2 linked regions of the Sus scrofa genome follow. The protein of the gene in region 2 interacts with the protein of the main gene of each other region in a pairwise test. Links are inferred from orthologs where the notes say so. Each region holds a gene or a part of one and is shown on either strand. Other genes may lie near its edges.

Region 1 (4,205 bases), on a different chromosome or scaffold from region 2:
GGCCCGGCCGCTGCGCACAGGGCTCTCCGCACCAACACTCGGGGATCGGCCCCATCCTCGCTCTCCCCCTTCCCGCCGGCGCGCCCCCTCCCCCGCCCGCCCCACGCAGGCGCGCGGCAGGCCCCGCACCTCCCCCTTCGCTCGCGGGGCCCCAGCGGGGGCGGGGCGACCCTCGGAAGGGGCGTGGCCGCCGGCCTCGACGCACGCACGCGCTCTCGGACCTTACGGCTACGTGTCGGGCCACGTGACGCCCACCCCGAAAGTCCCCCGTGAAGCAACAGGACGTTAAAAAAAATTTTTTTTCGGGGTGGCGGGGAGGGTGGTTGGGAGGCTTTTAAAGAACCATAATAACGGGGGAGAGGATGGGGCCGTGCGGCGGCGAGCGCAGCCCTGGCGCGCCGTAGCCCGTCCCGCTGGAAATCCCTCTCACCAAACGCCACAGCCCGACCGCGCCCGCCAGACGAGCCGGCCGGCAGCGGGGAGCGCGAGGCGACGCGGCCCGCGCCCCCGCCCCAGTCGAAAGCACAGCCACCCGGCGCCCTCCCCCGTCCGTCGGCCCCGCAGCGGCCCCTCCCTCCGCTCCTGCTCGCCCGGGGCGCCCACCCCGGCGCCCAGGCCGGCTCGCCCCGCGCCGCCTCCGTCACGCTGCCCGCCGCCGGCCCTTCAGGCCGCCCACCCCGCCGGAGGGCGACGGCTCGGCGGCGGCGGCGCCTGGGCCGGGGGCTGCGGGGGGCGGCGGCGGCGGGAGGAGGAGCGCGCCGGCCGGGCCCCGCTAACGGCCGCCCTGCGCGGCCCCGCCCGCCGCCCGCCCCCGGCCCTCCCCGCGCCGCCGCCCCTCCCCCCGCGCCGCCGCCGCCGCCGCCGCTGGCAGCGCCGCCTGAACTGAGGCGAACTCCGCCGCCAAGTGAGTGAGGAGGAGGAGGAGGCGAGGAGGAGGAGGAAGAGGAGGAGCGGAGTCAGAGCGCGGCGGCAGCGGCAGAGGCGGCCGCGGCGGGGACCAGCCCAGAGAGACCCCGAGCCCGCGGCAGAGGCGGCGGCGGCGGCTGAGCGGGCGCGACCAGCCGAGCGAGCGGCGGCGGCCCGGCTCCTCCTCGTCCGGCGCCGAGCGGCCCGCGCCCGCACTCGGCCCGCGGAGACCCGCCTCCCGCCCGCCGGCCTCGTGAGGGACGCGCCGAGCCGGCGGCCGAGGAGCGGCGGCGGGCCGGGAGCGCGTCGGGCCGCGGGCGGAAAGTGCCTGCGGGGGCGGGGAGAGCGCGGCGAGCGCGCGGTCCGGCCGCCCCGGCGCCCGGCGCGGGAGCGGAGCGGAGCGGGACGCCGAGTCCCGAGCGGCCGGCGGCCGGGGCTCCCCGCCCCTCCCTCCTCTCCGGCGGCGGCGGCGGGCGGAGTGAGCTGCGGAGCCTGGAATATGGTCGGGGAAATGGAAACGAAGGAGAAGCCGAAGCCCACCCCAGATTACCTGATGCAGCTGATGAACGACAAGAAGCTCATGAGCAGCCTGCCCAACTTCTGCGGGATCTTCAACCACCTCGAGCGGCTGCTGGACGAAGGTGAGTCGCCTCGCCGGCCCCTCGGGCCCGCGCCCGGGCGGCGGCCCCTCTTCCCGGGACCCGACGCCCGCCGGAGTGGGGAGGGCGGGAAGGTCGCGGCCGGCGGGGACCGTGCGCCCGGGGACGGAGAGGCCCGGGCGGGGCGCACGGAGGCGGCGCCGAGGCCGGGCTCGCGGGGCGCGCCGGGGCCGGGGCGCGGGCGGGACCTGCGGGCGGGACGCCCCCCCCCCCCGGCCCCTGGGCCCCGGGTCCCGGCCCCCGCGCCCCGCCCGGGCCGGCCTGGGCGCCGGCGTCGGAGCGCTGGGGGAGCCTGCAGGCCGGCCCTGCTGCGCCCCGGCTCCCGGCCGCGCCTGCGAGCACCGCGACGGCCCGCAGCCTCGCGGGCCTCCGGGGGAGCGGCCCGGCCTGCCCGCCCCGCGCCCCGCGGGCGCCTGAAGGACACCGGCTCGGGGCCGCTCCCGAGGGGCCTTCCCGCGGGTCGCCGGCGCTTCCCCCACTGGGAGATGCCGTGGGGCTTTGGGTTTTTCGAAGTTTGCGTGGCTTGTGAGTACTCGAGGGGAGTAGCGTGGGCTCGCTAATTGAGAGGGGTTCCACAGCCGACCGAGAGTAACGCCGCTTCAGCCCGGGGCGAGGACCGAATGACAGCGGAAAGCACTTTTTGTCCTTTTGTTTGGGGAAGCGAGAACTGTTGGGGAGTTTAACTTCACTTCGGGGGGGGGTGTGAACGCGAAATACCGCGAGGACAAGTGTAAACGTAATCCCGAGTTTCAAAGAACTTCGGCGGAGAGCTTCTCCCGAGGACGCCGTTGCCTTAGTTTGCAAGACAGGAAATCAAGACGTTTGAAAGGGCGACGATAAAAACGAGTAAAAGTTTGCCAAAACGCTGTGTTGGTGGAGAGCTGTGAGGAGCGACGAATGTCGAGAAGATTAATTTTGACCCACTCTGGAATTACTTTAACAAGGTCTTGTAGCAGTGACCCGGAGTGTTAATTTCTGGTCGCTGTGCACGTCTGTGGACGCCGAGGGAAAAATATGACCAACAAAAATGTCTGTTTTGAAAGTCGAGTAGCAAGGAGTTTCTCTTTTCTGTGTAGAAGCATCCCCGGAGGACTGTTAAACGAAAACGGAAAAGTATATTTTATACAATGAACAATGGATTCCAGATTTTTCACAAGAATTTTGAGGAATTTTAACCATATAGAGCTGGAGAAAAAGGAATCTGAACATTAGAGAGTTGGGATGTCGCGAAAGAACAAAAGACCGGAAATGTCTCCGTGATAAAAGGTGGTTAAAGAAGAATCCCTGGAGCTTTTCTTGTTTTGAAAGTCACAGAAACAACTTAAAAGTACAGAACTGTTAGATTTTGTACTTTTTTGTACGAACCAAACTCGTACTGCGAACACATTTTTTTGCTTACGTGTGTTAAGTATACAGCTGTGGCCCATCTTGAAATGAGCTTTTTCCTAGTTGAAACAGCAAATTTGTTAATATCAAATTGTTCCGGAGAAAACTTGAGCTGCCCCTTTAAGGGATTCTGCTTTTCCTATTTGTGTTGGCATTTGAAAGATTGTGGAGGCAGAAAACTTTCTGGAATGTCAAAAAAAAAAAAAAAAAAAAAAAAAAAAGCTGGAACTCTTAAATTGAGTATTTCCAAATGTGGGCGCTAAGGGGCGCCAGTTATTTTTTTTTTAAACATGAGAAATGTTTGGAGCAAAATGTGGACCATAACTTAATAACCTGACCTATATTGCAACTTAAATCATAGATCATTTCCTTTGTCATTTTGTGTCCATATATGTATTTGAAAACATTGAAAACACTTTCTTTAAAACTGTTGGAAAAATTTTATCACATTGCTGAAGTAATACGCTATTTTTTTCTGGGCATATTTTGATGAAGGTTAAGTTTTACTAGTAGTAAAAATTTTTAAGATTTTTTTTTTTCCTTAAGCCCAGTTGTGTAGAAGGAATCCTTTATAGTAAATGAAAATTGACTACGTTAGAGTTAAATTGCATTCTTTAAATTAATATGTTGAATTTAATCAAACAGCATAGGAGATTATAAAAAAAGTTTAGAAATATTTTCACTTCATTTGTACTATTTGAAGTAAATAATTTGAGTTTGTCTGATTACTTCTAAAAGCCTTCTCGTTTGTACTTCCAAGTTCGTCTAAAATCTCTAAATGATAATTTGGAGTTCTGTGTTAAAAAGTTTCTAACCTTTGGCTTGATTTCTAATCTTCTAAATCTATAATTCCAATTATATTGTTATTTCTAATGAAGGTTTGTTCCATTTCTCTCTGGTTGGAAATAGTAACCATTTGAGTTTTAAATGTTGGACACCACATTTTTTCCCCTTTTAGTGGGGCTTAATCCATCTCTTGCCTTAGTCTATCATTTAGTCTTTTCAGCTCTTAAGGGTAAAGATTGCTTCTGTATGGTAGCAAGGATGTTTTAAAAAGGGACAGCATAATGCCTAGGAAGTTTGATTTTTTTTTTTTTTTATCAGACCCGTACAAACATGCAGGAAAAAGGGCTATTCCTTAGTGTGGAATAAGCTGCTTCCTATAATTGTTAGCTTTATTATAAACAATTTGACTTGAGAAGAATATTGGTTTCTGAAGTGCATCGCATTTTTTCTATTCTGGGTGATTTACTT
Region 2 (4,048 bases):
TACTAGGGATTATAACATAATAAATATAGCATAACTAAGAAATGTAATAAAACCTTCAGGATTTTATTTCTTAGAATACTAAAAAAAAATGAGAGCATCTTTATGTTTGAGAAGAACATCATAAACTCATCAAACATTCCCATAGGTTACTTTGTTTGAATATTTAATAACAGAAAATAGGGAGATTATGATGCTTATATTCAGAGGTTAAAGACTTTTCCAAGATCACTTATAAAGGGGAGAATTAGGACTTTGACCAGGACTTTTGGACTGAATCATACCTTTGATGCTTTTTTTCATTACGACTTTTTACTAAGAGAACTTAGAAGAAACTCTTATATTCAGTGAACATTCTCCCAAACCTTCTGCATCTAATAAGCACTCTAGAGTAACGGTCAGTAGTTACAGTAATGGCACAAATGTCATGGTATATATGTCAGTGTCTGTAAGAAAGGGTTTATGTTTTTCAGTAGCAGCTGAGATGCAGAAGGCTGGGGAACACAAAGGGCACATTCTGAGTTAACTACAGTTTTTAATAAAGCTGGAAGCCTTGAGCAGTCCAATTTGTATCCACCTTAAGTTTCTTAAGCAATCACCTTTTTCAGATCCCCCTGATTTTTTTTTACAGTAGAAAAAATAAGCTCTTAAATTACCTCCCTTCTTTTTCAGTCCTTTGCAGCCATTAGACTGGTTTAGGACAAGCAGGTTCTTGCATATTTCCATTCCTTGAAAACCTTCCAGTCACGGAGCAGCTTTTCTCATCTTTTATTAAATCCACTGCATCTGTAGACTGTACATCAGTGGAAATGTTTTTTTAAAAATAATTTCTCTTTCATTTATTTATTATCAGATATTCTTAGATGGAATATTTTAAATCTGTATTAACTGTGGTAAGCTGCCGTGAATACTTCCTGTGTATATAATTAATGCCACCATCGCAGATACTCACTCCTTAAAATATGCCTGCACATGGCGCCTGCCCTTCCCTCTCTCCCCCTCCTTCCCTCCTCCTCCCTCTCTCCTCCCTCTCTCTCTCTCTCTCTCTCTCACTCACACACACACACACACACACACACACACACCACGCACGCACGCGCAAAGCACACACCAAACTGCCATTCTCCAGCAGGCCTGTTTCTGGAGTTGGGAGATGTCAGCCTGCGGGGAGGGGGCGGGGGGAGGAGGAAGAGGTGGGGCTCTACTCTGATTAATTACCTTCGGCATTCAGGGGTGGGGCTTCCTTCAGCCATCTGCCTGAGATATGGGAGGGAGCTGGAGAAAGGAGGAGGGGGAGAGACTGCCAGAGAGGAAGAGAAAAGAAAGGAAGAAACACTAGAAAGAAAAAGGAAGGAAAACGGGATAGAGGGAGAGCAACCGCCCACCCTTAAAGAGCTAGGCTGGGGGGGGAGGGGGGAGGAAGGAGAGCCGTGGAAGGTGTGCCCCAGCACGACTGCTCTGAAGTGTTCATCTTCTGTGCCATTCGGTTTATGGAGAAGAAGAAAATGGTAACTCAGGTAAGATTTGTGTTTCCTCCTGTGTTTCTTTTCTTGTTTCTGAGATCTAAATAAAGATATGGGGGTGGGGCATAGTCACCAGAGTTTTAATTTATTAACCTTTTAGAAAGGGACAGAATTATTGCTAGCAGCTGAAAAGTGTTCGTCTGTGCCTGTCGTGAGTCGTGTGTGTGTGTGTGTTGTGTCCGTATCCTTTTTTCTCCCCCCCTCCCCAGCTCCGTAGCAGATTCCTGTTTCCTGTGCTGTGCAGCTGGAGCTCAGTTAAGACCCTGTGGGGATTGGTCTACCTCTTTGTCTTGGTTCTGAGGAGAGGGAGGGAGGGAGGGACCACAGAGGTAGGGAGAGATTCTTGTAGACTGCCAAAAAGAGGGCAAGGGAGCTCACTTCCTTTTAAGAATTGCAGAAGAATTTGCGTTAGAGGGAAATCTCATTCCGGATTCACTTCGGGTTCTCGGGATTGGCTGTGGAATTGTAGTTCTGCTCCCTTTGCTTTAAATGGCTTATTAAAAATGAAGGCTGGAAAAATGTTTCATTTTCGTGTCTTTGTTACTGGCAGAGGATGTTTTCAGTGAGAGCCGTAGCATCCAGGTGCAGCAGAGCCCTCCCTGGCAGAAGAACAAGTCTGAATGTATAAATGACAGTCCACGGGCATTAAAAGACATCTGAAGGAGAGGGAGTAGGAAATGAAAGCGCGCTCTCTCTCTGTCTGTCTCTGCCTGTCTTTGGCTATGCCAGGCAATAGCTGCATTTTAGCAAGTCATTCCTGACAGATGGAAAGGTGAATATTCTTCCCTGATTTCCCCCGGCAGTGCTCTTTTTCTTCTTGGCAACCTTCTGTATGTCCCTTTATGCTTTTTTCTTTATATGTGGGTTGAGAGACTGATTTATCAATGAGGATTATTTGCATTGTGGCACATTCATGTCATTTAAGCTCAGACTTAGGATCAGTTTCACTCCAGGCTTTTATGCTCTGTAGGGAAATTTCATCACTGGACAGTGGTTTTCCTTTTAAGGAGGTTGCCTTTTTTTTTTTTTTTTTTTTTTTTTTTTTTTTTTTAATATTCTCTTGTCTCGTTTCTTAAGTCACCACCGGAGGGCGAGAGAGTCAGCTGGCTATCTGGGTAGAGCATCATTTTAGGAGCTGGAACCCTGTCCAGTTAAATGTTATATAATGCCCCGCAGTGCTGTTTGGAAGGAGGTAAGGCGTTAGGGAGATTTTCCCAATGTGACCTAGAGGAAAGGGAAGTTTCAAAGAATAATATCTTTCCAAAGTCAGTTTTTTTTGTTTTAGCAGTTGCTCTTCCACTTTCTTATCCCTTCATCGTTAGCCTGATTAACTCGTTAATCAAAACATTGCTCTGCCTTTTAAAAAAGAGAAAACGTGTTTCTGGCTTGTCTTTGTTGCTTGGGAGACAATACTTCTTAACCCGGGAGCCCACATCCAGCTTTCCTTAACTGCCATATTAGAGGGTACAAGCGCTCTTTCTCAGCTACTACCAAAGCCTTTTCAACTACTTAACTTTCCATTATAGATGTTTTTAAATCAGTGAAAGAGTTATCTAAGCTAGGACTTTTTAGAATCAGAGGCTTTCCATGGCCTGTTGGAGCATTTCCCCTGAGTTCTAGAAGAGCAAGTGTGTACAAGCCCAAGTTAGGGTGCACAAGCATTTGCACACCTAGTATTGTGCGCTTAATAATCAGTATTGAAGGAAACTATAATTTTAGGAACGAAGCAGAAGAGATAAGTAGGAACTGGGAAGAGGGATTTCTTTTTTTTTTTTTTGGTGGTTAAGAATTCTAGTAGATTAAAATCATGATTTTCTCAGTGCGTGTGAAGGCTGAAGAAGTAACTCATTTTTGCCTATGCTGAATTTATACAAAGTATAGAACATCAATTTGTGAATTTTCACTATGCCAGCATGTTTGTTTTTTGTATACACTTTCTATGTTAATGTAACATACATAGTTGATAGTAATCTAGAGGGGGAAAAATCAAAGGAAATAACCCATAGGCCAGATTTTTATTTGTCCAGGTGATAGGCACGTGGGTTCAAGTCCCAGTCTGAGTTCTGGCTGGGTTCAAGTCATAGTGTTGTCAGTTTTGCTATGGATTTTTTTCTGAGGAGGGGTTATCCTATTTGTTGTTGAAAGGGAAAGTGTACTAGGCCTAAAGGGGTTTCTTTGGTTTTTGTTTTTCTGAGCCAGACCTCAAATCCCACGATTTGGTAATGATATGTCACATAAGCTTTCTGAATAGAAATTATCTGCAGTGTTTAGGGTTCAGTTATCAAAATTAAACAGTCTATTGGGGTCTTTAGTGTCTTAACTAGTATATTAGGAAAAGTATTTAGCTATCTTTTCACTCTTTTGTCACCGGGTTCCTTTCTTTAACACCTCTCTCTGTCCTGTACTATCCATCGCTTACTCGGTGCCAGAAGGTGAAGGACCTTCAGCAGATGACGTTCTTGTCACACAGTTAGGTGCACACTGTGCAGGCTTTACTATGTAGGCTCTGGTTTTATGAGGCTGGGTTT

Evidence for each region.
Region 1: the proteins of RBFOX2 (region 2) and QKI interact in binary tests that used the Homo sapiens proteins (3 or more experiments, as listed by UniProt). The link is inferred for Sus scrofa from reciprocal best matches to the Homo sapiens genes RBFOX2 and QKI.

Annotation. Positions count from the first base shown.
Region 1 is NC_010443.5:4,880,442-4,884,646, reverse strand, and holds the start of QKI (protein quaking), read left to right. Parts: upstream 1-1,405; coding exon 1,406-1,547; intron 1,548-2,027; exon of another isoform or gene 2,028-2,831; intron 2,832-4,205. UniProt on the Homo sapiens protein: RNA reader protein, which recognizes and binds specific RNAs, thereby regulating RNA metabolic processes, such as pre-mRNA splicing, circular RNA (circRNA) formation, mRNA export, mRNA stability and/or translation.
Region 2 is NC_010447.5:11,807,902-11,811,949, forward strand, and holds the start of RBFOX2 (RNA binding protein, fox-1 homolog (C. elegans) 2), read left to right. Parts: upstream 1-1,248; 5' UTR 1,249-1,487; coding exon 1,488-1,514; intron 1,515-4,048. UniProt on the Homo sapiens protein: RNA-binding protein that regulates alternative splicing events by binding to 5'-UGCAUGU-3' elements. Prevents binding of U2AF2 to the 3'-splice site.